2 linked regions of the Saccharomyces cerevisiae S288C genome follow. The protein of the gene in region 1 purifies or fractionates together with the protein of each later gene. This does not show direct contact. Each region holds a gene or a part of one and is shown in the gene's direction. Other genes may lie near its edges. The genes, in order: YLR001C and VTC5.

Region 1 (16,578 bases):
GCACACACGCAATTAGCTGCCGACTTGCCCCACTAGTAATCACCTGCATCTATATAAGATAAGATGAAGACCTTTTACGTATCTTGAAAAACTATACAATAGCAAAGAAACCTACCACCCAGACCCTGTGCGGAGTATCTCGAACTTCCAGTATATTACTCTCAAGTAGATGACGCGTAATAGACAGGTTTTATTGGCAAATTTCGAGTCGCTATCATTATCAACATTAATTATAGGGTGGTGTTTGGTTGGTTCGAGTGCCGTCATAACTATTTGTTTTTTTTGCATATCTGGTTGATCCTCCTTAGTTAATATAGTCTCTTTGAGTTTCCCTTAAGGAACTGTCATTTGGTCCGGCGGAAAACATGGTGGTGACAGACAGCCTTTTCAGAGGTGATGAGCAATCTCGATGAGCATCTCAGCGGGTGCATATATACACGTATATAAGATAGTTCAAAGTATGATAGATTAAAGTTTACTTTGTTGTTGCTGAGAAGTAGTGAGAGTGTCAGCAAATCAATACAATGAAAAACATGTCACAACGATCCATGGACGTGGAGAAGAAGGCAGCTAACGCTGATAGTTGTTCCGTAAGTACCTCGAGCATTAATGTAGACGATGCGGACGTTGCTTTAAGATTCCTGAAACAGAACGGTCTCGACGAAAGCTCCACGGCTAATGAAGACGATGTTGTAGCAGGCGAAGAAGCCAACTTCTATGGTTCCCATGAATTATCTCCTAAGGTCCTGAGAAAAGTTGACCTCTTCATCCTGCCCTTTTTATGCTGTACATATCTTCTGATGTTTTTGGATAAGGCTCTGCTGAACTACGCTGCATCTATGGGTATCAAAGATCATTTGAAAGGTAACGAATTTTCTAATTTGGGTACTATCTTTTCTGCTGCTTACATTTTCATGGAACCTGTGGTCACTTACTTAATTCAAAAATTCCCCATTTCCAAAATCCTAGGTACTTTTATTACCGTCTGGGGTATCGTGTTGGCTTGCCATGCTGCTTGTAAGACGTACGCCTCGTTGATGGTCGTTCGTACTCTCCTAGGTCTCTTTGAATCCTCGAGTGCAGTTGGTTGTATCGCTATTAGTGGTATGTACTATACTAAATCTGAACAGAGTGCAAGAATTGGATTCTGGGCCACACAGGCTGGTACAGGTTATATTGTGGGCGGGTTAATTTCTTTTGGCTTTTTACATTATCATGGTACCGCTTTCACCTCTTGGCAAATAATGTTTTTGGTCGTTGGTCTGGTTACAGTTGCGTTTGGTGTTCTAACATTCTTATACCTTCCAGATAACGTCACCAATGCTTGGTTCCTAAACAAAGAGGAAAAAATTCAAGTTGTTGAGCATATCAGAGCTAACCAAACTGGCCTGGAAACAAAGAAGTTTAAGAAGCAGCAAGTTAAAGAACTATTCCTTCATGATAAGTTTACTTGGCCGATGCTTTTATTAACTGCATGTTCTCAAATTTCTACTGGTGCCATTGGTACATTTTCAGTGACCATCACTGGTACTTTTGGTTTCGACAAGTACGAAACAGCATTACTGCAGTTGCCTATTGGTGCCATTACGGCTATGATTATTCTTATAACAACTCAAATGTTGTCCCGCTGGGGTCATATCACACTCATAACCACATCTATGTATATTCCAGCTATTATAGGTTGTATCGTTCTTATCAGTTTACCCTTATCCCATAAGATCGGTAACTTATTTTCTCTGTACTTGCTTTACAGTGGTTCCTGTGTCATTACCAATATTTACATCTGGAATTCATGCAACACCTCCGGTTACACCAAAAGAGTTTTTAGAAATGCTATTACAATGATTGTATACAATGTCTCCTGTATTATTGCTCCACAGATGTTTAGGGCATACTCTGCTCCACGTTACATACCAGCAAAGATTGCCTTATTGGTCACTCAGTGTGTTTGTGTTCCCCTACAATTATACATTGGCTACATTTGCAAGAAGGAGAACGAAAAGCGTGATAAGGAACAAGAAGGTCAAGAAAGGAAGAAGTACCAATTTTTGGACTTGACTGATATCGAAAACAGAAATTTCAGGTACATTTACTAATAATCAACTTTTAATTTACAATATATAATATTTTTAGTCTGTAATATTCAATATTCAAAGACACCCAAACATTCATTGCACTTGGTATTTACCAAAAAATTGAAGAGAAAATTTTTGAGATGACCATGGATGAGGCAATGAAAGTCGAAATTTGATCCCCGCTACTAACTTCTAAACATATCGTCAGGACAATTGAGCTGAAAATGTCTAATCCAGATGATTTAGATGATGGACTCGCCTATGATTTTGATGCCGAACATGAAGTAATTTTTGACGCCAAGGATGGTAGTCCCCCAACCAAAAAGGTACAAAAGAGGTCTATAGAACAAGATGACGATGACGTTGATGATATAGATGGGAAAAAAGAGGAGAGAAATTCAGAAGATGATTCGAATAGACCTATTTCGAAAAGACAGAAAAAGCTACAGAAAAAATCAAAGCTAATTGAGAAAAAGAAAGAGGAAAGCCAGTATATCGTCTCACAACGAAAAGCACTTCCAGCAAGTTCACCAGAAAAAATTATTGAGTACCTAACAACTTTGATACGAGAAAAAAATCCTGACTTGAGTGTTTTAGAATTAGAGGAACTTTACTTCAAAAGAAATGATTTTCTTTCGACAGAAAAATTTGACGCTGAACGCAGATTAAGCAATTTCCCAGCCTTTATTCAAAAATTTTCCGTAGCTCCAAAAAAAATTGTTTTTTCTATGTCTAATATTAGAGTAGCAGACGTTTATCGTAGTCTAAACGGTGGCAAAAATTGCGTCAAATTATTCTCTAAAAGTAAACTAAAGGATGACATAGCCACCGTGGAACGTTTACTTACTGACAGCTCTAAAAAATCAAACAAAAATAAAGATTCACTATATTTTATTGCCACTCCAACAAGAATGCAGAAAATTATAGAAGCTACTGACTTACTTTTCCAAGGTAAGGAAAAGTTAGATATCATTCTTGATGCAAGTTATTTAGATCCTAAGGATAATACTATATTATCATTCGAGAATGCAGCCGTCCTCTGCCAAGTCTTGAAAACCTTTTTGAATAAAAAAAGCTCCGTGAAAATACTGTTATATTAATAATAGCGCTTTTTCACTGAGGTTCTACACATAAGATTACGTTTTTAAATACCAGCCTTAATTTAGTATATTAAATATTTCATTCTAGCATTTGATGGGGTACTTCAAATTATCTTCTTTAAATTGTCCAAAGCCCTTCCAAAAAGTAAAATCAAAGGAGAAACTTCGAGAACGCCTAGGCGCGCAGCAAACTCCATATATAACAATGTATTTTTTCTTTAACTACATAAAACCAATTTATCCTATTTTACTCTTTCCATGGAGTGTATGCTTTTTTGTAGTTACTTAGATTCAGAAATTCAATGTCTTCCCTCATTTTCTTCACCGTAGAGTAGACCATGGGACGTCGTTTTACTTTAGTTTTTGAATTTTTTCAGCGATGCCCGAAAACTGAAAATTTTATCTCATCTCATTCACCTGCCTGCCATATATAGTATTTTCATGGTATAAACTTGGCATTTTATGTCTTCAATCATAAGAGTATAATTCCGGGATAAAAGCTGGAGATATCATAGTAATAATGGCTAAGAGAAATAGATCTCAATTTCGCATTCAGGAAAGGACTGCAAAGAAAAGAAAGCACGAAGATTCCTTGTTAGAAGGCAATGTTTTCCAAAATGCACCGGAAGATATGGATGAAAATACCATATATAGCGCAAAAGGCTCATCCTGGGATGAAGAAGAACAGGATTACGAAATGGTTCCTCGGAAGAATCGGTCTGATACATCAAATCTTGTTGAAGGCCTGCCTATAAAAGTTAACGGTAAAGTTGAAAGAAAATTGCATAAAGCCCAAGAAAAACCAAAGGACGATGATGAGGAAGACGAAGACTCTAATGACTCTTCAGAAGATGATGAGGGACCTAATGAAGAACAAGAAGCAGAGGCAAAGGAGGATGAGCCTGATACGGAGGAAAAAATTCTGCAACTAAAAGAAGACATTGCCGATTTAGTCACTAAAGTTATGGAGGAGCCTGAAGAAAATACTGCTGCGTTGGGGCGTCTATGTAAAATGGTGGAATCTAAAAATCCTAATACTTGTAAGTTTTCCATGTTGGCTTTGGTCCCCGTGTTTAAGAGTATCATACCAGGCTATAGAATTCGACCACTAACTGAAACTGAAAAGAAGGAAAAAGTTTCTAAAGAAGTCTCCAAGCTTAGAAACTTTGAGCAAGCCTTAGTTTATAACTACAAAAATTACGTCGGAAGATTACAGAGTCTTTCAAAAACTCCCAGTAATGCTGCTCCTATACAGGTTTCATTAGGGATTTTGGCCACTCAAGCCGCAAAAGAATTGATTTCAACGGCATCCCATTTCAACTTTAGAACAGACATTTTCACTTTACTGTTGCGTAGAATTTGTAAACCAAGAATTTCAACAGATCCAACTTCCATTCAAATAATCCAGACATTTGAAACTCTATTAAATGAGGACGAAGAGGGCTCAATATCATTCGAGATACTAAGAATTTTCAACAAAATACTAAAGACGAGGAACTTCAACATCGAAGAATCTGTTTTAAATATGTTATTATCGTTAGATGTCTTACATGACTATGACCCTAATACTAAATTGAAAGGTAACGTTAGCGCTCCTAAGCTCAAAAAGAAAGATAGGGTCCATCTTTCTAAGAAGCAAAGAAAAGCTCGAAAAGAGATGCAACAAATTGAGGAAGAAATGCGTAACGCTGAGCAAGCTGTTTCTGCGGAGGAAAGAGAAAGAAACCAATCCGAAATTCTAAAAATCGTTTTCACTATATATTTGAATATCTTGAAAAACAATGCAAAAACACTCATTGGATCGGTTTTGGAAGGTCTAACGAAGTTTGGTAATATGGCCAACTTTGATCTATTAGGGGACTTCCTCGAAGTAATGAAAGAACTTATTAGTGACACTGAATTCGATAACCTTTCCTCTGCTGAGGTCCGTAAGGCTTTGCTTTGTATCGTTAGTGCATTCTCACTTATTTCAAATACACAATATATGAAAGTTAATGTGGATTTGTCCAAATTCGTCGATGGGCTTTACGCGCTATTACCTTATATCTGTCTTGATGCAGACATCGAATTATCTTATAGATCGCTAAGGTTGGCTGACCCACTCAATAACGAAATAATAAAACCATCAGTTAACGTTTCTACCAAAGCAGAACTTCTGCTAAAGGCTCTGGACCATGTATTTTTCCGCTCTAAATCAGGGACTAAAGAAAGGGCTACGGCGTTTACCAAAAGATTGTACATGTGCATCAGCCATACCCCAGAAAAAACAAGTATTGCCATTCTTAAATTTATTGATAAATTAATGAATAGATATCCAGAAATTTCAGGCCTTTACTCTTCCGAGGATAGAATAGGCAACGGTCATTTCATAATGGAAGCCGATAATCCTTCAAGGAGTAACCCAGAGGCAGCAACCTTATGGGATAATGCTCTTCTTGAAAAGCATTATTGTCCTGTAGTTACAAAGGGGCTACGCTCTCTATCATCTAGATCTAAAGAGTGTTCTAAATAGCTAGATCCTATATATTAAGTATATAAAGAGCCACGATTATCGTTAGCCAATCATTTTTGCCGTGTCGAGTAGAATTGTATAAATATTAGCATTGTATGAAATTTGAATGAATTACCGCAAAAGTATTATACGTAAGCAATAGAAACAAATATCAGATTCAAGTTCACCAAATCAATATTAACAGCTTACTATATTGTCTTTTTTTATGGAAGAACATTACCGTGAAAACCCGGTAGGAGAATTTTGTTCGGTCGGACTTCCCCATTAGGCGTATATTAAGGGCCTAGAAAATAAGACAAAACGGCTTCTTATCTAAGCTGCTGTGAGTGACAGCATGTATTAACTGAATCAAACGGAGCCCTTTGATGAACATGGCAATCCAAACAATTAAATACATTTTTTGGCTACTGCCGATATTAGGGCTTACACAAGCACTTCTACAAAACCCAGGGGACGATTTTCCATTTAGCACAGTAATAGATATCCTCTCAGAAAATGTTGAATTCTCAACTTTTTTAAGGATTATTCAGAAAACTGGTCACGTACAGTACTTAAATGAGCTACAGAACTTTACACTTTTTGCTCCGATTAATTCAGCATTTATTAAGGGGGACCAAACCACAGACCAATTTGAGGAGCATTTCCATATTGAAGATTTCCTTATTCATGATAGGGTATTGCAAGTGAGAGACCTTGAAAACGGTACCTACCTGGAGAAAAGAGCTGCAAAAGCACCTTTATTGCTGAGAAAGCATGAGCGCCATTGCTTTGTCAATGAAATTGCTGTTGTCGAACCCGATTTGCTGCCTAGTTTCCAGAATGCTTCATTACAAGGTATTAACAATCTTTTACTAATTCAACCTCAAATAAATGAGTTGCTGGTACAACTAGATGAAGAAACCCAAGATTTAAAGATATTTAGTGATTTTATCAGCAGTTTTTCAAACTATAATGCATATACAAACTCATCCACAGTTTTAGTGCCCTTAGATGTTAATTTTCGAAAATTCTTCAATACAATCGAAATAAACTATCTACTTGACAAATATAATAAATTGGGTAAATCTAATACAATTTCTCAGGCCAAATGGGCCGCAGATAGAACTTCCCTTCTTCAAGAACTCATTATTGATGACGTGTATGGTGGTATTTTACCCAAGGAACTAATTTTAGAAAATAAAAACAATCGAAAACTTTTTATGAAGAGTAATTCAGAAGGTACATCAGTAAGTGTAAATAATTCAGATTACTCACCCATATCAAACAGAATTTTTGAAATAGGCGTCGTGCATGGATTTTCTGACTTAGACTTTTTACGAACGCATATACAGTTTGATGCTGAAAAGTACTTGCACGGTTTGAACTGCTCAGAATTCGTAAAGGAGTTATACTTCAGAGACCTTGAAAAATTCATTCAAAACGGAAGGAAAATCACCATATTTGTACCACAAGCCTCTTTTAATGAGGATCGTGGGTACACAAAACCATCACTTCTGTACCATTTTGTAGAAGGTAAAATTGACCTTGAACAGGACTTTTCCTCATTGCGCCCGATTCAATACGCACCTACCCAAATTTATGACTCCGCCTTTTGCTCTTCAGCTAAAAGACTAGGTGGACACTGCCAAAAGTTCAAAATCACAAGGTCTAATAAAGGTTATTACATCAATGGTCGCTTCAAGATTTTAAACACAAAACCTTATGAGATTGGTAATACGTCCATTTATTCTATTGACGATGATCTTCAATTACCGGGCGACTTAGTGTTGTCATTAGCACCAGAAAACCACTGTTCTATTTCCCTAATGCTCTTGAAGGAACTTAACCTTTTGGATCTACCATCAAATCATAAGGGGTACACGATACTTCTTCCATGTATGAATTCATGGGACAATAATGATTTGACTATAGACTATTTGAGGTCAAACAAAACCGCCCTAAATTTACTTATGAGGAACCTAATCTTCGAAGACCTTATTTATTCCAACAATTATAGTATTTCGACTACTGTCAAGAATTTATACGGAAATTCTGTATCTATTGGCGTACAAAAAATTGTGGGAAGCCAAAACCTTACGAAAATCTCAGTGAGTACTATAAAGGAAAGTATTATTATTGAGGAGAGTTCCGATATATTTTTCAACCAGGGAGTTATCCATCCTATAGACCAATTGGATTTTCCAGTCGATTTGGAGATATCCCTAAAAGAGCTGATAGAAACTACTGGAACAAAAGAAATATTTGACTTTTTTAACTTGTTTTATGACCTTTCTTCAATCATTTGGAATAACGAAGAGTACTCGCTTTTAGTTCCAACGGCTTCTTCTATTCCATTAAGTGGCATCACGGCGAACTCGACAAACTTAAGAAAATTCCTCGAACTCCATTTGATTCCTGCTAATGTAACGCAAAACCTACTAGACTGCAATGGCTCCATTAGCACTAAACTAGGTACAAAACTAAACTGCAGAAAAGATCATCTGGACAACGTTTTTGTTAGCATACAGGGCGACTGGACCAAGGAAGTTAGAGTTCTTAAAACAGGATGCACTACTAATTTGAAAAGTTCATGCATATTTCTGATCGACAAACCCATATCCTTATCTTGGCTAAACAGCGAGAAATACCATCTGCGCTTGCCAGGGATAGCGGTTGGATTTGGGGTTATAATAGGTGTTACCATAGCCATTTCTTTATTGTTTTGCATAATAATTACCAGGGGTGGAAAAGTAAAAGACAAAAATCAAAGAGGGAGAAATGATCGAGCAACAACACCACTGATTCAACACTCTCCGATAATCCACAACCCTTCTTACTCGGCAACAGCGCATTTATCACCACTTTCTCAACCCACTTTTGAAGGTTCATATTCTGTGAACGCTATACAAACCCCCAGAGATATACGAAGGGTGGGATCAGATCAAAAGGGCGGTCGCAGTGTCAGTACCTCATAAGTGTTAATATATCATTTAAGTAGTAGATAATATCTTCACAAATTAAGCAATTGAACAAAATAACGTTCGTTTTAAGTTTTGTGGTTATTTTCAAGTTTCTGTGAAAGTATATGTAACTAACAAGAAAGTGACCTTATTTGCCATCATCTACTTCCTTTCCTTTTCTTTTAGCGTCTTGCCGTTAACAATCTTCATATTTAATCTGAGTGGAATTTCTTCTCATTATATTCATCAAGGAGCAAACAAATAAGTTCTAAACTAGCTTTCAAATAAGAACTTTGAGTGTCGATTAAATCAAAATGTAAAAATGGAAATGGCTACTAAATTTATTTATGATTATCAATCTCTAATTTTAGTCAGCTTTTTATAAGGAGAAAACTTGTAGTACGAGGTTAACATAAGAAAGAAAGAGAATGATGAAAAAAAAACAGGATATATTAAATCACGTGTAATAAATATTATTAAAAAGTTTATTAAAATAAAATAATAATTTAAATTACTATTTTTAAATAAGTTTTATTTTTTAATAACACTATTGTATTTGTTATCCGAACAATAAAAACATTTTATTAGCTATTTTTCAAGCATAAAAATTTGTTTTCGGGGTAAAAACTCTTTACGCGGGTGTGTACTTCAAATATTCAACTTTAGAAAAGTAAGCGTTTACTCGTTGATATTAGCATACACCAGTTTGGTTGTCTACAAACCATGTAGAAGGTCTATCTGCTTATTATGACTGATATTCTTTTGATGCATAACGTACTCTTTAATAACCTAGAAATTTCGTTCATCTAGTTAAAACTATAATCATTCGTAGCATTGATAATTAGATTATTGGAAAGGCGCAGAAGATAAATAAGAGCATTCGCTGGTAAACAAAATACATCTTGTCGCTTGCTTAACGGTTAAAAAGGAAATGATCGTACCTATGGACTACGCTTATTATTGATGGAAGGCAATCTTCCACGAAGTCCGCCAAAATAAAAACACTTTTTCCTGTTCTATACCTTTAGGTAGAGCTTCTCTAGTGAAGGTTCTCTAGCTTAGTTAATACTTTTGCGATTGCTAATATTTGTTATTTATTTAGTTATGGATTTTTATTAACAAGAAAAAGAATGGAGAGGAGAGCACATTTGAAATCATCAACTGAGTAAAGGAATAAACACTGACCTATAATCACGCCCGCAATGTTGAAGTAAGATCAAAAATGAGATGAATTATGCAATTACAGAATATTACTAATAAGGGTTGCAGCCTTTTTATAAACTCCGAGTGATTTCACACATAGTTCTCTATCTTGAGCTAAAGTTTGATCCTCAACTAAAAGTTCTTCAAACAGTGTTTCTTTGTAGAGTTTGGTTACCAATCTGTTTTGAACAGAATCCTTACAATAATTGACGAGTAAACACATAACTGCCTTTGGTACTTGATCTTCAATCATTTCTCTTATAATATCAAAGTATGAAACAATCAGACGTTTAATTAATTCGCACTCCAATTCTTCTCTCTCGGTCAGTGGAGGTTCAGCGTTTTCAAGGTCATCTATATCGCCCAGTGAAAAATCTGATATTTGTAAATTTCTAAAATCTTCAATATTTCCATCACCGGCAATGGATCTTTTCTTGTCTGATGCATCGAACACAGGTTGACCCTTTTTATCCTTGCCAAAGAAATAATTTAAAAATTTGTCCTTCGTTTGCTTCGATTCTGCGTCGATACCATCATCATCGTAGTCACTGTTTTTAGCAGAATCTTGATCTATATTCGAAGAGATAGATGAAGTACCATTAATACCGTTGGTTTGTCCATTCTCCTGTTGAGACAACTTACTTTTCAATAACTCTTGATTCCGTTTTCTACGCGTTTTCATGATGTCATCCATTGCTTCTGTTGCACTTAAAAAATTAGGATGATTAGTATTGATGTAGGCTCGATGTATGTCAATCAAGCTTTCAACGTAAGAGCGAGTAGGTTGTAACCTTTCTCTAAGTAGTTCGCTTATAACTTCTATTAACATACTCTTCAATTTAGGATATCTAGCTAGCTCAGCGGAGCCACATTTATGGCATATTTTCATCAGCTCCTCGTAAACTAACTCGACGCAACGTTGAGATGGTTCTAGTAAAAGTTTAATTTGAGGTTTAACCAATAGGTCAAAAGCCAACTCAGGTACAAATAATGTAGGACGGGGACCAGTAGAATTTCTAATCGCTGTTCTAACATCAAGAACGGATAAATTAGAAGTTGGATCAATCGACTTCAAAGAATTCCCAAAAACATTATTGTAAATGTAATAAATACGGGCACCACCACAGAGTTCCTTCGTATTAATGTCGGAGGATGTACCATCTATAGATGAAATGAAGTTTGTAGAAAACTTATTCATTAGTTGAAGAACAAGGCTAGCTCTGCTTTCATTAGTAGTAGCTCCTACGCCACCGTATCTAGCGAGCTCTTGTTCGGTTTGAGAGATCAGGGTATTTAACTTGGTTTTAATATCCGGAAGCTTGTCTCTAATGTGGCTTAATAATGTCTGGTTTAGCAATTTAGCTAAATAACGCGTACCACACTTTGTTGAAATAGTTCTGTAGACTGGATGTTTCCTGAAATAGTCCTCTTCTTTGTCCAATGATTCTTCAACGGTTTTGTTCAATTGAATATCCTGTTGCGAGCGATTCACTACACCAACAAACCCCAATTTCAGAGGATACATTTTTCCAGACAAGATATCTAGAGCATTAGTCCCAGAATCCATCAAATCTAATTTGGTAATGACACCAATAGTCCTTTTGCCCTGAGGGTCTACCTCTCTGGCCAACTTTAAGGATTCAGAATTAACAAGATCAACGTTAGCTGGAGAGACGGCCAAGATTAAACAATTTGGAGTGGCTATATAGTCTAGGATCAAATTCTTGATTTGCTTTTCAATATCAGGTGGTTGTTCCCCAATAGGAACCTTTGTAATCCCAGGCAAATCTACTAGCGTTAGATTCAAAACATGAGGGGAAAACACTTTCAAATTAATCGGAATCTTACTGATGCCCTTATCCTTACCGGCTATCCTCGCTGTTTCGTTTTCGATTTCTCTTTTGATATCGTCGAAATCATAAAACCGTTTTCCTGGTATATGCAGGAATTCCCCCCACTCATCTGCATGATTTCTTTCCTTGCCCCTATACTCCAAGGGCTTCGTACCAGCTTCGAATCCTGATATTTTTGTAACTTCATCATGTGGATTAACTGAGTTATCATCTTCCTCTATTAGAGGAGAATTTGGAGATATGTTATTAAGTTGAAGAACTAACGGTCTTCTTGTGACAATACCAGTACCCCTAGGTAAAAAATCTCTTCCAACTAACGTTTCCAATATCGAGGATTTCCCGGAGGATTGTGACCCAACAACAGCTAAAATGGGCAAATCGAGTGTATCGATCCCGGAGTCGTACATAACATCCTGCAGCTTGTTGACAGTAGGAATAAGATCTTCTAAACTAGCCATTCTTTATCCGTCGTATTTAGATTCGCTGGTAGCTACTTAATGATAAACTCTTTAGCAAATTGTGGCCAACCTGAGCAGTAGAGTAAAGGTAATATTTCATCCTACCCTCTTATTTATTGTTCCCACACTTTGTTTTGCCCGACCTTACAGGCGTGCACCGCGTAGTAAAAGTTGAGGACCTATCATTACCTAGAAAGGTGGCGATCAAGGTACTAACAATAAATACAAACATGCATTTTCTAAGATCGATGCTACATACGTGTACTAAATAATAAATATCAATATGTATCAAGTTTTAGGCAAGGCTTTAGCTTTTTTACGCGGTTTTAGCATTGTTATCGCCAACGTGTTGATGTTGCTTGCAGGAACCGGCTGATTTCTCTCCCGATGCTCCCTCTTCCCTGTTAAAGATTGAAGATTTGTTGCCATTCTGAGCAATAGAAAATCACGAATATTGGTGAAAGCTTCTATTGCGCCTTCCTCTGTATCGTATTCCTCTCCAGTAATGTACTTCTTGATTGCCCTAAACTGCTTCCTTGACTTCGGTACAATAACATCGGCACTAGATGGAAATAAAGATGGAGTGGCAAGAGAGTATCCCGAAATACCCATTACAGATGATGTGACACTTAATTTGAACTCTTGACGCTCTTGTAGTTCAATCCAGAAGGATGATAAGCTTACTTTGAGGAGGCGATCTTCCTCTGCCAATTGGTGTATAAATCTAGCCTTAGGATCGTCTGGGAATAATGGAATATTATATACCGCAAGAGAATTTTCTTTAGAGGTAAATATATCACCCACTTGCCATAGTGGATATTTCATCCCTCTTAGGTATGATCTTACTCGAGCAGGATCTTCGCCCGGTATCCTTAATTTTGCTTGTGTATCATTTTGAAAGCATTCAATTAGTAATCTATCCAAAATAAAGCCCCACCATTTCATTAGTTCCTCGCCATTTAGTATATGCTTTTTGCTGTTTTTTGAAGAATCTGGGAAGAGGTACTGGGATGCAGGTCTAGTAAATAAACAAATTTTGGTCAAAATCTCACGAGGACAGGTGAATGAGAGATAAAGATCTTGTTGAAAACGTGGAGATTCTATTTCTTTCAAAACGGTGCTGCCTGACTGTTTAAGCCTTCTAGCCAAAATCCTTAAAGTTCTTGCTGGCGTACTGGCTGCGCTAATCAGCTCGGGGGATATCTTCTTATATGATCTTATTGCCGGTTTTACTTTTTGAAGATAGTAATTCGGGTCGATTGATAATATAAATTCTAATATTATTTTTGTAATATCTCTAACGCTTACCCTCGTATTACAATAACCATTAGTGTCTGCCTTTGATACAAATATTAACCGTTCGGCATCTGCTTCATCCCAAAGCGTGACATACACATACACTTCTAATGAAAAAAAAACTTTTCCTTGGTGAAATAGACTAAAGAAGTGTTGAGTCTTGATCGTGCTTTTTGGGACCCTTTTGTCGTCCTTATTTGGGGTTACGACAGCATGGGTTTCTAACGGAATAGATTGCAACGATAAGTATTCAAATTGTTCACTGACAGGTAGCACGGAACTTAGGAAGTCATTCAGTGACATGTCTTATTGAAGACCGGTTGAATTGACCTTTTAACTCTACTGGACAACTCTATTGACAAACTGTAGTTTGTTAAGTAATGCGTTATGGCGTCCATTTTCCATTATAGCTTACAACGCGAACACGAAAAGTATAGTATGTTGTGATGTTTTCATAGACCTGGAGAATATTATTAGTAATTGTATGCATCTCAGAAGCAAGAAAGGTTACGACTACATATGCACACATACATACGTACATAATATATATATCTATTGACGTTTACGACTTAACGGGGATTTATCATGCTCTCTTATATAATCCATATCTTGATCGATTTTAGGAGAATTGGCGCTTAGGCTAAAAGGTACAGCGGGTATTCTGCCAAAATCAATATGGTCAACTTTGGATGGCATGTTTCTAGTGGTACGCCTAGGAGAATACCTTAGAGGTTTTCCTCGCGTCGGAGATCCGTTTAAGCCTGTCGTACTTTCAAGGTTGATCTGTTTTTTAGCTGTAGAATCAAGAACACTGGAAGATTTCACCGGACTTGGTATGGCTCTTCTTGCCCTGCTATAATGCGACTTCATCGCTTCCATTCTGTGCTGCTTTATTCTTTCTGAGCCTGGTATGGTTGAGGCGTTTTGAGAGTCTGATCTTATGGGAGTTTTTAGTTCATGTTTAAGATTGAAGTCCTTCCTTCTCTTTGGAGAACTGTCTGAACGATTTTTCCATAATAATAACAATCCCCTTACAGTGGCCCTGTCCCACCGATGACGAAACACCTCGACTGTCTCATCATTACGCTTAATTTTTAGGAATCGAAGACTCCACATTTTCAAGAATTTGGATGTAATTATGAATTGTTTATTAGCTTCCGATTGTTCCAATAATGTACTCATATAAAATATTTCGTCTAGATGAGTTTTCCAAATATAAAACGTCTTGACTAACACAAATTCTTCGCGAACTTCGTCTGCTAATTCTTCTGATTTTACTATCTCTAAAAGTCTTTCTCTAAATTTCTTCAGCACCATTTTTTCAAGCTGGTAGTTTCTCTTTGAAATAGCCTGAATGTTACATTCTTCTGTGTAGAAGCAAAATCTATTTCGCCAAGCGTTGAACAGTTGGCTTTGAAGTTCGCGCTCTTTACTCTTTTCATAAACGTGTAAAATATCGTTTAACTTATGCCTGACTTTGAACCTTGTGGCTTTCCGCCACTTTAAAAAGGCCTTAGAAAGCTTTACTCTATCCATAGAGGGCGCCAGTTTCGTATATAGCAAATGAACATTATCAATATGCATTAGCGTCCGTTTTACAGTCAAAATTGCATGTGTCTTACATAAGAAATTGTATCTATCCTCCAATTCCTTAGTTTTAATCAGGCGTTCTTTCCATATAGCTAGACACTCATTTACGAGACCCTCTTCGTAAAATTTGGATGCTTCGTCATTCATAGAATTCATTTGTAGCATCCTCCTTTTCCACACACCAAGATATTTTGCACAAAATGCCGTTTTAACATGTTCGCTCGATATTTTCCCATACTGTATTCTTTTCCTCCATGTACGATACGCGCTTGCTTGAATACTCTTTTTACATTTCTGCTCAAATATTTTTAACTTTACTTCAAGTTTCCAACTTCGCAATGATGACTTGAGCAAATTAGTCCTCGAATAATCGCTTGCTTTGAGGTCAATATATAGAAGTTTTTTCCATGAATGAAAAATACGCTTCACGAGGTTAGCCTCTTTTAGACTTACAATTGAATACAAATGCAGATGGTCTTCGAATCTTTTCAGCCACATCTTCTCAAAAACGCACCTCAAAAGTGTCTGATTTAGTTTACTCTTTGCAATTGCCTCTTGTTGACTATGTTGAAATGACCGGTTTAATTTGCGAAAAAACTTTTGTTTGATGAATTTATTCTCCAGTTCATAAAGTGCCCCAAGTTTATCTTCGTTTTCAATGTTTTTCTTTTCCCATTTATTCAGATATTTTCTTTGTAGAGAAAACGACCTCACTTTTTCTGCAATGCTCTTATTGTATTCATAGTTTATAACTTTCTGTTTTATTCTTTCGAAAATCCTTCTTTCCAACCCGTGGTAGTTTATTTCTTTATGTCTTAGCTTCCATATATGAAATGTTGTTCGTAAAAATATCTTCTTAATGTTGTCAGTGTTAACAGTTTCTAAGTGTTTCCAATGCTCTTGTGCCTTTAAAATTTTCCTAAACATCTTATTCAAAAAGGCCTGATCTGCTAACCTTGACTGCTCCTTAAGAGTTTGTGTTAAAGTTATCCATTGTTGGAACGAGCGAAATAGTAGCCAAGTATTCCTAAAACTTTCAGCTTCATCGTTGGCCATCTGTGAGTATTTTAATGTTTTATCACTCCAAATATAGAAGACGGCTTCCTGTACCCTCAGCTTTGCTTGATTTGCAAACCTGTTTGCCTCTTCATTCAATTCACATACAGTCTTCCAGTGATTAAAATGTCTTCTGATTTTGTTCTTAGCGTAGGTATATTCTGCAAGGGACAATGCAATGAATTTGTTGCGAGGGTGGATTAAAAATATTTCTAAAATCTCTTCTATAACAGAATTGAAAGTGAAAAAACCTTTCAGTTCATCTTCCAATATTGTGAAGTACTCATCGCGTAAAGGATTGATGCCTTCTTGAATAAGAATATTGACATAGTTTTTGAAAATTTGTAAAAAACTTCTGGATAGTTTGAAATGAACCAAAAAAGCTTCAATCTGGCGGTATAAATCTTCGATTACCTCAACGGATATATCATTCAAATCATATCGTAAACCATTCTTAGGAAGATCGGTAACGTCTTCATACTCCAGATTTGTCGAA
Region 2 (16,907 bases), on another chromosome or scaffold:
TTTTAAAGATTTATTTGCCAATCTTCACAACTGCCCTGTTGTATCTATATATTATTCTGTTGAAACAAAGTTTTAATATAGTCTACTAACTAGTATTCCCGCATTTCTCATATTCCTTTGAAAATACCAACTATCGCTTATTTTACCAGCAGTTAATTAACTAAAACGTTCTCATGGGGATGGACACCAGTTAAAGAATCAATAGAACCTTTTTCAAATCTCCATATGGAGCGGCCTCAATGAGTAGCAACGAGGGAAATAATTACTTGCTTCGGCTGCATTCAGTGATTAGTTAAAAAGTCGTCACCCTAAGTTTTTCTGTCGTATTTTAGGCATTTTCATTTTGAGGAAATATCGTATACCTGGTAATTGCCTATATTTTGAGATGAAGACTGTTTCTCATTTCTTTTTGGTCATCTCCTTGCAGAGCATTTGATAATATAGTAGTAATAATGAATTGTAGTCGATAAATGTTAGTTGATTCTCATTCCTATCGTATCGATAAGGAAACCTGAGAAATACCAAGGTTCAACGATAATGGCAAACATGCTTCATTAATCGGTATTCTTGATCAAATACTTCCTTGCCTGCCATACGGCATCCCTTAATCGCAAAATAGTAATATTCTTTCCAACTATATAACCGTTATTTTAACACACATTTCTCAAGAGACCCCTTTCTAGAAATGGCATGGAGTGGCAAGTATCTTCAAGCTATTTTTTAGTTGTTCATGTACTCCATAGAGTGACGGTTCTTGCAATTTCAACTAGTTTCAAGATAGTCATAAAAATTTGCAACCGAGCCCATTACTATATATATATATATACAAAAAATTTTAACATTAAACCTTGAGCTCGGGTTTTATCTCATACCAAGTATTATCAACCTTTGGCCGGTGTGTTCCTAATATGGTATCGATTTTCAAGTATACCGTGTAACATTTGGTTTTTGAATTATCCAGGGGTATTGCAAGGAATATCGTGGATCCTGCCATATGAAGGCGTGGATCTTAATTTATTCACCTTTACTGATCGTACCAAACGAAGTAAGCGTAGAAAGCTAACCAATTTCCTCTTGTTACAGAGAGAAAACTTTTCTTGTACAGTAAACTGAATATGCTACGTCGTAGACTTACAATGACGCCGCACTTAGGGATAGTAGTTACCTTGCTCACTTTACTGTCGTGATCATTACACCCGTACGTAATCGATGATCATTGCAGGAGAGGGGCACTTTGGTCTGACATCACTTTTTTTACCTAATCAAATAGATTGGCTTTTATTTGACAGATAAGGTTTATGATCTCTTTTTTCGAATGGAAAGTTCCATGCAGGCACCCTTTATCTCATTGTATTTAAACTACATATAGAATGGATGGAAACGTGGCAAGTCATATCAGGACGCTTTGAAGACTGATAATTAAAAACATTAAACAAGTTTCCAGATATCAGGAAGCGACCAAGCCAATATTCAGAACTTTCGTTTCGAAAAACACAGTAATATATTATTCTCAAAAATTACCACACTTTTTTTAGGCAAGGCTGCAAAATAATACCAGAAAAGCAGAGGCGGTTCTTAACTTCTGTGTAAATTCAGTGCAGGAGGACGGGTGTTGTGTTATTAACTTGCAAGGAAAAGAAAGTTTGTGTCTCCCCTTGTTCTACGCTAGCGAAATGGGTGTGTGGAAGAGTCAAAACTGAACCAAGAAAAAAAAAAAAAAAAAAACAAAACAGATAAAAAGATAAACAAAGGCAAGATCAAAAAGCCCTATCGTGAACGCTATCAAAGGACTTTTAAAATTCATAAATTAATAGTTCGTCCGTTGCCCTCTTGAATATAATAGAGATAGAGTTTAATACTTGCTTTTTACCTTTGCTTTTTTTTTGTATATCTCCATCTCAGCCCTAGGTAAGGATAGATACGAAGGGTTGTACAATCATGAAATTTGAAGATCGCATATTGAATAAATCAATCCCTGAATGGAAATTCTACAATATTAACTATGAGAAGTTAAAAGTAGCCATAAAAAAAGTAACGGCTTATGATTATGACAATCCAAATGATTCGGGCATGGAGAAGTTGTTGAATCAATGTTCAGTAGCCTTTGACCAGGAATTTCAAAATGTTAATTTATTTGTTTCTTTGAAAATAAAGGAAATTTCCACTCGTATTCTTTCTGTGGAATCATCAATAATCGATTTTTCAAAGGGCTTAAACAAAACTTCCAGAAACCGTTTCAACCTTCGTAAACTGAAAATCATCAACGCTCATGTAGACGATTGTAACTTTGAACTACAACTACTGTCAAGGTTTTTGATAATACAAAGGATTGCCTTGAGAAAGTTATTCAAAAAATTACTAAATGAATTTCCTCAAGACAGTGAAAATCCATTGACTGCAAGTGAGTATGTTACGTCGATCAGAAACTCTGAAAGTTTACGAAATGGACACGAAGGCATATCATTTATGAAGCTTGATTTAGATCCATATCTTTTAGAAGTTTCGCTAATTGTTGATGTTTTACATGATTTGGAAAATAAACTTGAAGATGCAACTGAGCCAGCAGTGGAGCAAAGATCCCTAAACCGCTCCGATGAATCTGCCCATACAAGTTCAAGTCCAGAAGCCAACAATTCTTCCTTGCCAGCATCTCCAAGGTCAATTCCGCTACTTTCAAACAAGAAAACTTCAAAAATGATTGATTCTTCGCTAGAATTCGATACTGCCCTCATAGATAAAGCAGAGAATCTAGGAAGGTTTTTATTATCGTCCGAGGACATAGAGGGACTGAAGTTCATGCTATTGAATATTGGTTTTAGGATAATTGACGATAGCATCATATCCACTTCAAAGGAGATTTTAGACACTACAGATAATATTAATTCTGCGGGCAACAAATCTATAAGATCAGCAAAGTCATTCAATGACTTACAACATACCTTATCCCTATCTAAACAGAAGAACATATTACCCTCTGCTGTACAATCCAATGAGAAGTACGTTTCTATTAGTATACTAGATACTGTCGGGAACGAAGGCAGTCCTTTACTACTTACTGATGATAATATAAATCAGCACCCAAACATGATAGTCAGCTCTACTGCTGAGGATACTTGTATAGTAATGTGCCACGTGGGCGGCTTAAGAAATCATGTTGTCACAAATGATCTGCTTCTAAGGGATGTAAAGAATATTCTTTCGGCCATGAGGAGTGGCAACGACACAAAAAATATTAGCGCTCTCATAAACTCACTGGATCCATCGCCAATCAGTAAGATCGCTTTGGAGTGGATTCAGTCCCATCGATTAAAAACCATTGAACCAAAGCTAGATTTTAAAAGAACAAGATTCATATCAGCAGACAATGGAGATATATACTTGATAGCTTTGGATGAATCTATCACTATTGGAAATGTATCTACATTACCCTTTCCAATTTTAGAAATTAAAAAGCTTAGTCGATCCAGTGGTCTTTCACAGACGGCTATTAATGAAGACAATAAGTTTAAACAGTTAATGAAATCAGTTGTTACAAATGAGTTTCAATGCAGCTTAATACCACCAGACTTAACCACATGGAAAATATGTTTAGAATTAGTACACTCAAATGAATTGCAAAATGATTTATTTCAACTTTTACTAAGAGATCAATATAAATTAAATTCCGATGATTCGCTATCACCTGATGAATTTTTCCAGCTGGGCAAGGATCGTCTAGAGGAAGAGTTTGACCTGACTGGGCCGATAAACAACTCACAAGGTAGTGTTGACAGCGGCAGAAGAGTTCGAATTCACAAAAAATCAAAGCAATCGGATAATGAAACTAAAAAGAAACCTATTAGGTATTGGAATGAATTTGATGAACAAGAAGAGGATAATTTAGACAATGCTTTTTACATTGATACTAATGGAAGCAGGAGTACAACAGATAACGAAGAATCCTTACTTTTGAGAAATTCTCCGCCTGATTATGGGTTTATTTTGTTTAGCCGGAATTTCATCAACCGCACATATGATTTTTGTGAGAAGTTACGAAACTTGATTCGCCATGACAAGAAAACATCGCCAGATTTGTTTCAAAACTCTAAGCATCCGCATTGTTCATCAACTAACTATGGTTCTGTTGCGTCATTTGGTTCACAATCAACTTCAGCGTCATATGATGACGTTCAAAGGTACTTACAGTATCAACAGCAAGACATAGAGGACTCACAATCTATCTACGAATATAGGCATGACGAAGTTGTTACATTTTTATACTTGTCTGCACTGCTAACATCTTGCATTATGGCAAGTGTATGTCTGGGAATCGTTTTATCCTTGTTTCGCGGGCAAAGTAATAATGAGATAGATTTAGAAATTCAAAATATTCTCATAGCCATTATTATCATTTCCTTACTGGTTTCCCTTATTTTGATCTGTGCGTGCCTGTTGTTGTTATTTAGTCGGTTCACTTTGGCGCCAATCTGGCATTATGTTGGTTGCTTCACAATGTTTTTCTCAGTTACTGGAACAGTGTGCTATGGTATGATTGAAATTTTCTTTTAATTATTTTGGACGATAAAAGTTTTTCATGTGTACAGTCTATATAAAATATGCATATCATGTGGTTACATAAGAAGAATGTTAATCTTGTTTGGAGATTTTGTTTTTGGAAACTTCGCCATTGCGAAGGGTGTTGCAAACTGAATTTCTGTTTAAGTTTTTAATTAATAATCCTTATTTTGATCTTTTCTGATGGCCGTGTTTGAACGCATAGTATTGTGAATATAAGCGAAGTGAAAACCTTTACACCTGCGGCAGATGCCATATTACTGCGCTAGTGGTGAATATTATTAAGCGTGCTATCAAAAAGAGATGAAAACGTGCTAACTAAAAAGGACTCAGATTCGTTACACACTTAGCCTCGAATAACGATCAGGATCTGTTCTAACCACAACTCCATGGACAGCATGCAATGTTTGGGCTCTTGATAACGTCCCCCCATCAGTACTATCGTATATATTAAAATCGTCTGCAAAGCTCGAAGCATCGTCGGGGATTGAACAGTTATCCAGGTTATAGTTAGTAACATTTCGGTCACTCTTGCTAATATCTTGTTCGATTTTTTCATCGGGTTCTTCCTTTTGAGCTTGGCCACTTTCTTCGTCAAAAGTATTGCCTTTAGCTAGGAATCTAAACCTACACCACCATATGAAATGAGACGCGAAAATTCCTAACTCCATTCCAGCAACTATTGAGTATAATATAATACCCATAATATCCATATTACCTAGGATAACACTGATGATAGATAGCCAAGCACCTAATGAATCGATGAATAAGAAGGCAAAGTTGATGCCAATAACACGACCTTTCCTTTTGGCTAGTTCAAAGTAAGGTGGAAGCAGTCCGACAGCTAACAAAACAGATGCAGAAATACCAAAAATCAGATCGGGCCATTTAACACCCTTCTCGTAAAGGGGCCTCAGCCATAATATAAAGCCAACTTCCATGCCAACATCAGCCGCAATAATAGCAGCTACAATCATTACTATTTTGGATCTCGCCATACTGATTGGTGGATAATAACACGATTGGACGAAACTTATAGAACAGAAGAACATAAAAAGGTGTGGTTGAACTTGTAAAATGACATTACCTTTACTAACACAGAAATATATGGCAAATGGAATTCCGGAAACAACCCAGAGGAACATCATCAGTGGTGGCAGCCCCGTACAGTCCTTTTTTTTCCAATTATATATTATTTGCGGAATTAGCTGGACACACCAGCAAACTGTTGCTATAGTAGCTAAAGCGGTAGCAGCCTTTTCAGAGATCATGAATACCTTATTCTTAAATCTATGTTATGTTATAGTATTCCACAGTTTATATTTCAGCGGTTAATTTGAAAATAGAGATCAGCGGAAAGTAGAAGGCACCAGAAGGAAAGCATTATTTATATGAGTTTCGTTTGGTACGAGAAGTGTGATACAGAGGTAATCTACCTATCTAGTCATTGAAAAATGCTATCAAGAAACGGCGTTCTCATATTACCCGAAGCACCTTATCTGGCGCTCACACCGCGGAAATAATTGGGTGATATTTTAGACAAACGGACTTTAATGTCATGCTAAGATAAACGTTCAGTAATGCAGCAAATGCTTATCATGACGACTCGTTTACAAGGTAAATTCGATTACGAAGAAGGTGCGGACAAAATAACGATTAATTAAAATACAATAGGTATATAAAATAAATAGAGAATAAATATAGTGTAGTTGCTTTACAGAAAAATGAAATAAACTGGAGTACGGATCACCGAAGAGGAGGTTGTTCACTTTCAGGTTATGATGTAATGAAGGTGGGAAGTTAGAAATGTATTAGTTGGCGTATATCTAGAAATAAACAACCCGATGCTTGGGAAGGAACTCAATGTAATATAATACTCATTTTGTTTTGCAAAAACATTATAACTCTTAATTATTTCTCCACATTTCTAAACCCAAAAATAAAACAATCGTCCTCTTGGTTCTCCGAATCCCAAGATGCTTAAATACCGGTGTTATCCAAGAAAAAGTAGTTTCCTGATGATTTTTGTTCTTTATCCATTTGGGAATCTAGCTTATTAATTCTTGGTCTGAAGGAGTTTGGATCCCTTCTGAAGGTGACATTCAAATTCTTCAAAAATCTGTTACAACCAGTCAACAAAGATTCAGGGGCTCTTGCGTGAGCATTCTTGGAAGGAATACCTTCAAAAACAATGACCTTATCAGCAAGATAAGTAGCCATGATGAAATCGTGCTCGACAATAAACGCAGTTTTCTTATTATGTAAGATGAATCTTCTGATAACTTTAGAACAGATAATACGTTGTTCGGAATCTAAGTAGGCAGATGGCTCATCAATCAAGTATATGTCTGCTGGGATACCCAATGCCAAGACGATGGCGACTCTTTGTAATTCACCACCAGACAAATGTTGGACTTCTTGATCAATAATATCGTCAATCCTTAAAGGTTTAACGACATCAGTCTGAAACTGTGGATTTAGGAATTGTCCTCTAATTTTCTTGAAAAACAATTGTCTGACAGTACCTGGGAACTTTGGTGCAATTTTTTGTGGTTTCATAGAAACATTCAATTTTGGAATATCTTGTCCTTCATCTGGCTTCAAAGCACCAGCTAGTAATTTGATCAAAGTGGTCTTACCGGTACCGTTTTCACCCATCATAACAAGGATTTCGGAATCGGAGAATTCACCTTCTTCAACATTCAAAACAAAATCACCTTGAGTTTTCTTCAAACTTGGGTAAGAGAAGGCGCGACTAGCAGAGTCATTCTGCAAGTCTTCGGTAGCATCAGCTATTCTAAATTGTAAAGCTTCAGTTCTGAATCTCAGGTTTTCAGCAGGAATATGACCGTCCAAGAATATGTTGATACCTTCTCTGACAGAGGCTGGTAATGTAACAACACCGTAAACAGATGGAACACCATATATGATACAAACGAAATCGGAAAGATAATCCAAAACTGACAAATCGTGCTCAACACAAATAACGTATTTAGTTGGAGCTAGTAAAGATCTAATAATTTGAGCGGCATTCAAACGTTGCTTAACATCCAAATAAGATGAAGGTTCATCGAACATATAAACATCAGCCTCTTGAACACATGACATACCAATGGCAAATCTTTGCAGTTCACCACCAGATAACTTTTCAATATCTCTTTTCAAAACGTTTTCCAACTGTAAAATTTTGATGTAGCGTTTCACATCTTCAGGACTTTTTTCCATTCTCAATTTCAAAAGTTCGCCAACTTTTTGAACCGGACCTTTAATAGCACGAGGAATGTTATCAACATATTGAGGTTTGATTATAGCCTTGATATCATCTTCCAGCATCTTGGTGAAGTAATTTTGTAATTCAGAACCACGGAAATATTTAATAATTTCCTGCCATTCAGGAGGATCATCAAAACGACCTAAATTAGGTTTTTGTTTACCGGCTAAGATTTTCAAGGCGGTAGACTTACCAATACCGTTGGTACCGACTAAACCAAGGACTTGACCCGGTCTTGGTGTTGGCAATCTGTGCAGTTTGAAACTATTGGCAGAGTAACGGTGAGTTACATGGGCTTCTAAATTAGTTGGCAAATTGATAATTTGAATAGCATCAAATGGACATTTCTTAACGCAAATACCACAACCAATACACAAGATTTCGGAAATGAATGCGATTTTTGAAGTTGGAGTGACTTCAATACATAATTTACCAGTTTTCACAACGGGACACGAACGTTTACACTCTTGACGACACTTTTTTGGTTTACATTTATCAGCGCTAACGATAGCGATACGACTGTTTTTATCACTCATTATGGTCTGTCGTGTTTTCTTAAGAACTTTTGCAGAAGGCTAGGTGGAATTCGCGCTGAAACAGATCACAATGAAGATCTAAGAATACAGAAACAATAAAGGTTAATGCCCAGTTTTACATTTTTTTTTTTTCACTTTCACTTTGCTAGCGAGCGATGCGATTGAGAAAAAAAATAGAAAATTTTTTCAGTTGCAAAACTACCCGGCTAGAAATCTGGTTCGATGCACACGAGTAACAAGAGATTGTTTTTCTATCCATGGTATTTGCTTATGAACAGGTGACTGAAGCAGCGTATAGTCATGTTCAGTCTTTACTATGTGAAGGGTAGGATGCTAATGACCGGCTCTTTCTTATCCTCCGCGGTGTTTTAAACGATGCTCCTTTCAAGTACGCTATTCCGTACTATTTTTTACTGTGATAATTTGATCATCAACAACGACGAAAATGACACGTCGGCGGCTAATTTGATATTTCTTTATTTGTGTATTTCCGTTGCAGATACGAGGGCGTTTTACATGACATCAAACTATTAGGAAAATCCTTTTCCAATTCAGTTTGTAGTAAACCATGATAGGCCACAAGACATTTTTTTTCAACTGGGGAGAAATTTAACAAGGACGTCTTTTTTTATTTAGACGATAAAAAACCAAGAAACAAAACTAGTAAAGGTTCTTGGAAGCATTTATCTGGATGCAAAATAATCGTTATTCTTGGGCATGCTGACAATGCTGAAAAAGTTATCCAAACAAAGTAGTCAAATATTCAAGATCACTATTAGATCGCTAAACATTAATTTCTCATTTTGCGACGATACTTTTTTTACAGAATATAAATTCATGTTAATTTTGAGATATTTAAGCGTTTCATCTCTTTTTTTCTGGGCTAAAAAAGCTTTTCGATGTCTAGAAATACTACCAACAAATACTTGAATGCAGAACAAGAAGGAAAAAAGCTTGATACTAGTCAAGCTTAATGATTAGATTCTGCGGGAGCCGCGGGAACAGAAAATACTAACGTTTTAAATATCATTTAAAAAATTACCAAAGTACAATAAGCAGTTTTTTCTTTGCCTTCTCTACATGTGAACAAATATAATGGGCATCTAACAGGAATTTGTTTTCCTTTAAACCATCAAAGAGAATAGTTCAGTTAATTATGCCGCATCCGTATTGTTACCCGAAATTATGGTGTTTTTAAAACAAAGGATAAGTGATTCATTGAAAGATGGCGCGCCACCACGAACCAAAACACCTCTATAGAGAATAGTACTTTACACTCTTCTGTTCTTTTTTTTTCCAATATTAGCAAATAAGGTCAGGTTCATTGTAACATAGTTAGAAATGGCATCATTACCCAAGAGAATAATCAAGGTATGTTCAAACAAGAGCAGTGGATTATATACGAAATCTGAAGTGACGTTTTCGTCTGAGCCGTCACACTCTACACTGTTTCCTCTTGATAATGGCTAGAACTTACATACTAACGCAAAACTTCCAAAACAAGAAGGCTTTTTTTGTCCAGTTTGTAGCAGCGTTCCGCCTTCCCTTTGTCCATATCCGCAAACGCTCATATGGAGGGAATTCAACAGAACAAACTACTAGGGCAGAAAACGCAAAGTCTTTGTGAACTTTCATATAGGAAACTGAGAAATTAGTAAGTGACCCAGTACCTGGCATTACAGCAGAACCACATGACGACAACTTACGTTACTTCCAAGTAACAATCGAAGGCCCAGAACAGTCACCATATGAAGACGGTATTTTCGAATTAGAATTATATCTGCCTGACGACTATCCAATGGAAGCACCGAAAGTACGTTTTTTAACCAAGATATATCATCCCAATATTGATAGGTTGGGCCGTATATGTCTTGATGTGCTTAAAACTAATTGGTCACCCGCTTTACAGATCAGAACCGTCCTGCTGTCCATTCAAGCACTGTTGGCTAGCCCTAATCCTAATGATCCGCTAGCTAATGACGTCGCTGAAGATTGGATAAAGAATGAGCAAGGTGCCAAAGCTAAGGCTCGCGAATGGACGAAATTGTATGCAAAGAAGAAACCCGAGTGATCATTTCTGTATAAGTTTTCTCAACTGAATATATAAATATATATCATTACTATGCTGCTGCTGCTGCAAAAAAAAAAAAATTTACGATAAATGCAAAAACCATAGATGGTCATCTAAAGAGGCGCATTTCTCAAAAATGTAGCGTCGCTAAAATGGTTTTCTCTACCTTTAGTTTTACGCCAGATTTTTACTAGACGCGTTTTAGTTTACTTTTTCCTACCCTGTTCGTTTTTTTTTTTTTTTTCGCACCAAATTTTTCAACCGTTCCATGGAAGCCGGGATCGACCGTCCTACACTAATGTAAGCATTAGTCCGCTCGAGGGTCCACGTTTAATTCCGGATCATAAAGTTTTTAATGTATTTCTTGTTATTATCGCTTTTGTTGATCTTACCTGCTATTGCATAGAGACAGACAATAGACAAACCAGATTCATCGCTTACTCGGTGGTTTACCTCTTAGTATTACTTTCGCTGCTTCTTTCTGCTGTGACAGAGTCTCAGGTGAAACAAATTAATCAAAAGAGTTGATTAAACGCAAGAGCGTTGAGAGAGTTTAAAAAACCATCCGTTTCTTTTTCTATTTGCTTTCACATTGTTCGTACTTTGTTCCTTTTTTCCTAATCCTTTTAATAATAGAATTCTTTAAAAAGAATCATAGCATAAACTCAACACATATATGTCAAGTCCCTCCAAACCCACTTCTCCCTTCGTGGATGATATTGAGCATGAATCGGGATCAGCATCTAATGGTCTGTCGTCCATGTCACCATTTGACGATAGTTTTCAATTTGAAAAACCCAGTAGTGCGCATGGAAATATTGAAGTAGCGAAAACCGGCGGTTCTGTTTTGAAGCGACAATCTAAGCCAATGAAAGATATTAGCACACCCGATCTCTCAAAAGTTACTTTTGATGGAATCGATGATTATAGTAACGATAATGATATTAATGATGATGATGAACTCAATGGTAAAAAAACCGAGATACATGAACACGAAAATGAGGTGGATGATGACCTCCATTCGTTCCAGGCAACACCTATGCCTAATACTGGAGGCTTTGAGGATGTTGAGTTGGATAACAATGAAGGTAGCAACAATGATTCCCAGGCAGATCATAAGTTGAAAAGAGTACGTTTTGGTACAAGAAGAAATAAGTCAGGTAGGATAGATATAAATAGGTCAAAAACATTGAAATGGGCCAAGAAGAACTTCCACAATGCTATTGATGAATTCAGTACAAAAGAAGACAGTCTCGAAAATTCAGCCTTGCAAAATAGGTCTGATGAGTTGAGAACAGTTTACTATAATTTACCCTTGCCGGAGGACATGCTTGACGAGGACGGCTTACCGTTGGCAGTTTACCCGCGTAATAAAATCAGGACTACGAAGTATACTCCATTAACATTTTTTCCCAAGAACATTCTTTTCCAATTTCATAATTTTGCCAATATTTACTTTTTAATACTGTTGATTCTAGGTGCTTTTCAAATATTTGGTGTGACAAATCCAGGTTTTGCATCCGTTCCCCTAATTGTCATCGTAATTATCACTGCTATTAAGGATGGTATCGAAGATTCCAGAAGGACTGTATTGGATTTAGAAGTTAATAATACAAGAACACATATCTTAAGCGGGGTGAAGAATGAAAATGTTGCTGTTGATAACGTTTCCTTATGGAGGCGTTTCAAGAAAGCGAATACAAGGGCATTGATTAAAATTTTTGAGTATTTTTCAGAAAACCTCACTGCTGCTGGTAGAGAAAAGAAGTTACAGAAAAAAAGGGAAGAATTACGAAGGAAGAGGAACTCGAGAAGCTTTGGGCCACGTGGGTCTCTGGATTCAATTGGTAGTTACAGAATGTCTGCCGACTTTGGTCGTCCCTCTTTGGATTATGAGAACCTGAATCAAACAATGTCACAGGCTAACAGGTATAACGATGGTGAAAATTTAGTTGATCGAACGCTACAGCCAAACCCTGAATGTAGGTTTGCCAAGGATTACTGGAAAAATGTTAAAGTTGGTGATATTGTTCGTGTTCACAATAACGATGAAATTCCTGCTGATATGATCTTATTATCGACATCAGATGTTGATGGCGCTTGTTATGTGGAAACCAAAAATTTGGATGGTGAAACAAATCTAAAGGTCCGTCAATCATTAAAATGTAGCAAGATTATTAAGAGTTCAAGGGATATTACCAGGACGAAGTTTTGGGTTGAAAGTGAAGGCCCACATGCCAACTTGTATTCTTATCAAGGTAATTTCAAATGGCAAGATACACAAAATGGAAACATCAGAAATGAGCCTGTAAATATCAATAACTTATTATTGAGAGGTTGTACCTTGAGAAACACTAAGTGGGCCATGGGTATGGTTATTTTTACTGGTGACGATACCAAGATTATGATAAACGCTGGTGTCACTCCAACCAAAAAATCCAGAATTTCAAGAGAGTTGAATTTTTCTGTGATTTTGAATTTTGTACTATTGTTTATCCTATGTTTCACTGCTGGTATTGTTAACGGTGTTTATTATAAACAGAAACCTCGATCGAGAGATTATTTTGAATTTGGTACCATTGGAGGTTCTGCCTCAACTAACGGTTTTGTTTCTTTTTGGGTGGCGGTTATTCTTTATCAGTCATTGGTTCCGATCTCTTTATATATTTCTGTGGAAATTATTAAGACAGCACAGGCTATTTTCATTTACACTGATGTTTTGTTGTATAATGCCAAGCTAGACTATCCATGTACACCAAAGTCGTGGAACATCTCCGATGATTTGGGTCAAATTGAGTATATTTTTTCAGATAAAACAGGCACCTTGACACAAAATGTGATGGAATTCAAAAAATGTACTATTAACGGTGTGTCTTATGGACGTGCCTATACGGAGGCACTAGCAGGCCTGAGGAAGAGACAAGGTGTTGATGTCGAATCGGAAGGTCGTCGCGAAAAGGAAGAGATAGCAAAAGATAGGGAAACAATGATCGACGAATTAAGATCAATGAGTGATAATACACAGTTTTGTCCGGAGGATTTAACTTTTGTATCTAAGGAAATTGTGGAAGACTTGAAAGGATCCAGTGGCGACCATCAACAAAAGTGCTGTGAACACTTTTTGCTGGCGCTCGCATTATGTCATTCTGTCCTTGTGGAGCCAAATAAAGATGATCCTAAAAAACTGGACATCAAGGCTCAATCACCTGATGAGTCTGCCTTAGTTTCCACCGCCAGACAATTAGGGTACAGTTTCGTTGGTAGTTCAAAAAGTGGATTGATAGTAGAGATCCAGGGTGTTCAAAAGGAGTTCCAAGTTCTGAACGTACTTGAATTCAATTCGTCGAGAAAAAGGATGAGTTGCATTATCAAGATCCCTGGCTCTACACCAAAGGATGAACCTAAAGCACTGTTAATATGTAAAGGTGCGGATTCCGTTATCTATTCAAGATTAGATCGCACTCAAAACGACGCTACTTTGTTGGAAAAGACGGCCCTCCATTTGGAAGAATATGCCACAGAAGGTTTAAGAACATTATGTTTGGCTCAAAGAGAGCTCACGTGGTCCGAGTATGAACGTTGGGTTAAGACTTATGATGTGGCCGCTGCATCCGTTACTAATAGGGAGGAAGAGTTGGACAAAGTTACTGACGTTATTGAACGTGAGCTTATTTTGCTTGGTGGTACGGCCATTGAGGATCGTTTACAAGATGGTGTTCCTGATTCGATTGCCCTCTTGGCCGAGGCCGGTATTAAGTTATGGGTCCTAACGGGTGATAAAGTGGAAACTGCCATTAACATTGGTTTTTCCTGCAATGTTTTGAACAATGATATGGAATTATTGGTTGTGAAGGCTTCCGGCGAAGATGTAGAAGAATTTGGTAGTGACCCTATTCAAGTGGTTAACAATTTGGTGACAAAATACTTAAGGGAAAAATTTGGCATGAGTGGATCCGAGGAGGAGTTAAAAGAAGCTAAAAGAGAGCATGGTTTGCCACAGGGAAATTTTGCTGTCATTATCGATGGCGATGCGCTAAAAGTTGCTTTGAATGGTGAAGAAATGAGACGCAAGTTCTTGCTACTGTGTAAGAATTGTAAAGCTGTTTTGTGTTGCAGAGTTTCTCCAGCACAAAAGGCTGCAGTGGTCAAGTTGGTAAAAAAGACCTTAGACGTTATGACCTTGGCCATTGGTGATGGTTCGAATGATGTAGCCATGATTCAATCGGCGGACGTTGGTGTTGGTATCGCGGGTGAAGAAGGCAGACAAGCTGTCATGTGTTCTGATTATGCCATCGGGCAGTTCAGATATGTGACAAGACTGGTATTGGTGCATGGTAAATGGTGTTATAAGAGACTGGCAGAGATGATCCCACAGTTTTTCTACAAGAACGTTATTTTTACGCTATCCCTGTTCTGGTATGGTATTTACAATAATTTCGATGGGTCGTATTTGTTTGAGTATACGTACTTGACATTCTACAATCTTGCATTCACATCCGTACCTGTTATTTTACTAGCAGTACTCGACCAAGATGTTTCCGACACCGTTTCGATGCTGGTGCCACAGTTGTACCGTGTGGGTATCCTAAGAAAAGAATGGAACCAAACCAAATTTCTTTGGTACATGTTGGATGGTGTATACCAATCTGTGATATGCTTCTTTTTCCCCTATTTGGCGTACCATAAAAACATGGTTGTAACTGAAAATGGCCTTGGACTAGACCACCGTTACTTTGTCGGTGTCTTCGTTACAGCAATTGCAGTCACTTCATGTAACTTTTACGTCTTCATGGAACAGTATAGATGGGACTGGTTCTGTGGCCTATTCATATGTCTATCACTGGCCGTGTTTTACGGCTGGACGGGTATATGGACAAGCTCGTCGTCAAGTAACGAATTTTACAAGGGTGCGGCGCGTGTATTCGCACAACCTGCCTATTGGGCAGTACTTTTCGTTGGCGTGCTGTTCTGCCTACTGCCAAGATTCACCATTGACTGTATCAGAAAGATATTCTATCCGAAAGATATAGAGATCGTTAGAGAAATGTGGTTACGCGGTGATTTTGACCTCTACCCACAAGGCTACGACCCTACGGACCCTAGCAGGCCCAGAATAAACGAAATACGTCCCCTTACAGATTTCAAAGAGCCCATTTCACTGGACACTCATTTTGATGGTGTCAGCCACTCACAAGAGACCATAGTCACAGAGGAAATACCAATGAGTATACTCAATGGTGAGCAAGGCTCGCGCAAGGGGTACCGTGTCTCTACCACTCTGGAACGCCGTGACCAGCTCAGCCCCGTTACAACAACGAACAACTTGCCTAGAAGATCAATGGCCAGTGCCCGCGGAAATAAGCTCAGAACTTCGCTGGATCGCACAAGAGAAGAGATGCTTGCCAACCACCAACTGGACACAAGATACTCCGTGGAAAGAGCACGTGCCTCGCTGGATCTGCCGGGTATCAATCATGCAGAGACGCTGCTCAGCCAGCGCAGCAGGGACCGTTAATGATTACAATTTTTTTCTTCCTTTGTACTATGTATACCAATGTGATATGATATAGATTTCATATAGGATGTGATGATGTGTATCACCCGGCACGGCTCTACCCCGCCCTGTGGGGTGTGGAGAAAACGCCGCGCAGAGCCTTGAGTAGGAAGGGGCTGGGTTCTCCCCTTCCTGCCGGGGTCCGCCCGGCGCCAAGAGTAAGAGAGCGAAGCCGGAGACGTAATATGAAAAAAATTTTGAGGGGAAAGGGCGTCCGCAAGGGCAAGGGCAAGGGGAAGGGGTGGCGTTTTGTGCTTCAAGGAATTATATTTCGTTGTTTTCCGCACTATGGCGGCATTGTGGCAAGTAACTACTTTACGGAGAAAGACTAGAAAATGGTTACAACTGCCACTATTACCGCTTCGCATTCTCTTGTCTTACAGGTCCCTTGAATTGGCATTTACGTTTACATCCGATCCGGTTTTTCACCAAAGAGAAAGGAAAGGAAAGGTAAAAATAGCAAACCGAAAAAGAAAACAGTATTTTCTCTCTGTTTAGGATTATTACCACTACTTACTGAAGAGAAGTTTTTAACGTTTATCGTTTGTGTTGAGGTAGAAGTACAAACGCGTGTGTGAGTTGTGTATTTGAAATTATTATCCTTCTACGCATATCGGGAAAAAGTTAACGGAAAAAACAAGAAGAAAACCTCCCCCCTCCTCCTCCCGCCATACAGAAGGCAAAAGAAGTTGGTCTGTTAGGAAGAAAATAGCCAAGTAATAATACGTTTGGCCAGTTGTATTTTTTTTTTGTTTCGCTAAGTCTCTTGCTTACAGAAACTCTTTGCCCACCACATATTTCATCGTTTTTCCTTTCTGTTCATCATTAACCTCCATTTCCCAATTTTTTCCAATTTTCAATTTTTTTCACTATTTGTTTCTTTGTTGGGCGTTTAAAAAGTATTTGCTTCTACAAAGTGAA

Evidence for each region.
Region 2: the proteins of YLR001C (region 1) and VTC5 purify together in Saccharomyces cerevisiae (affinity purification with mass spectrometry, with the first as the bait; one large-scale study listed by BioGRID). This does not show direct contact.

Annotation. Positions count from the first base shown.
Region 1 is NC_001144.5:143,452-160,029, reverse strand, and holds YLR001C (uncharacterized protein), read left to right. Parts: upstream 1-6,052; coding exon 6,053-8,641; downstream 8,642-16,578. Other genes in the region: THI73 (Thi73p), read left to right, coding at 525-2,096; CMS1 (Cms1p), read left to right, coding at 2,300-3,175; NOC3 (Noc3p), read left to right, coding at 3,696-5,687; dynamin-related GTPase DNM1, read right to left, coding at 9,867-12,140; H3 histone acetyltransferase RTT109, read right to left, coding at 12,429-13,739; SFI1 (Sfi1p), read right to left, coding at 13,989-16,578.
Region 2 is NC_001136.10:620,174-637,080, forward strand, and holds VTC5 (Vtc5p), read left to right. Parts: upstream 1-1,938; coding exon 1,939-4,548; downstream 4,549-16,907. Other genes in the region: ILT1 (Ilt1p), read right to left, coding at 4,893-5,825; RLI1 (Fe-S cluster-binding ribosome biosynthesis protein), read right to left, coding at 6,535-8,361; E2 ubiquitin-conjugating protein UBC13, read left to right, coding at 9,703-9,732, 10,001-10,432; aminophospholipid-translocating P4-type ATPase DNF2, read left to right, coding at 11,109-15,947. UniProt on the Saccharomyces cerevisiae protein: Regulatory subunit of the vacuolar transporter chaperone (VTC) complex.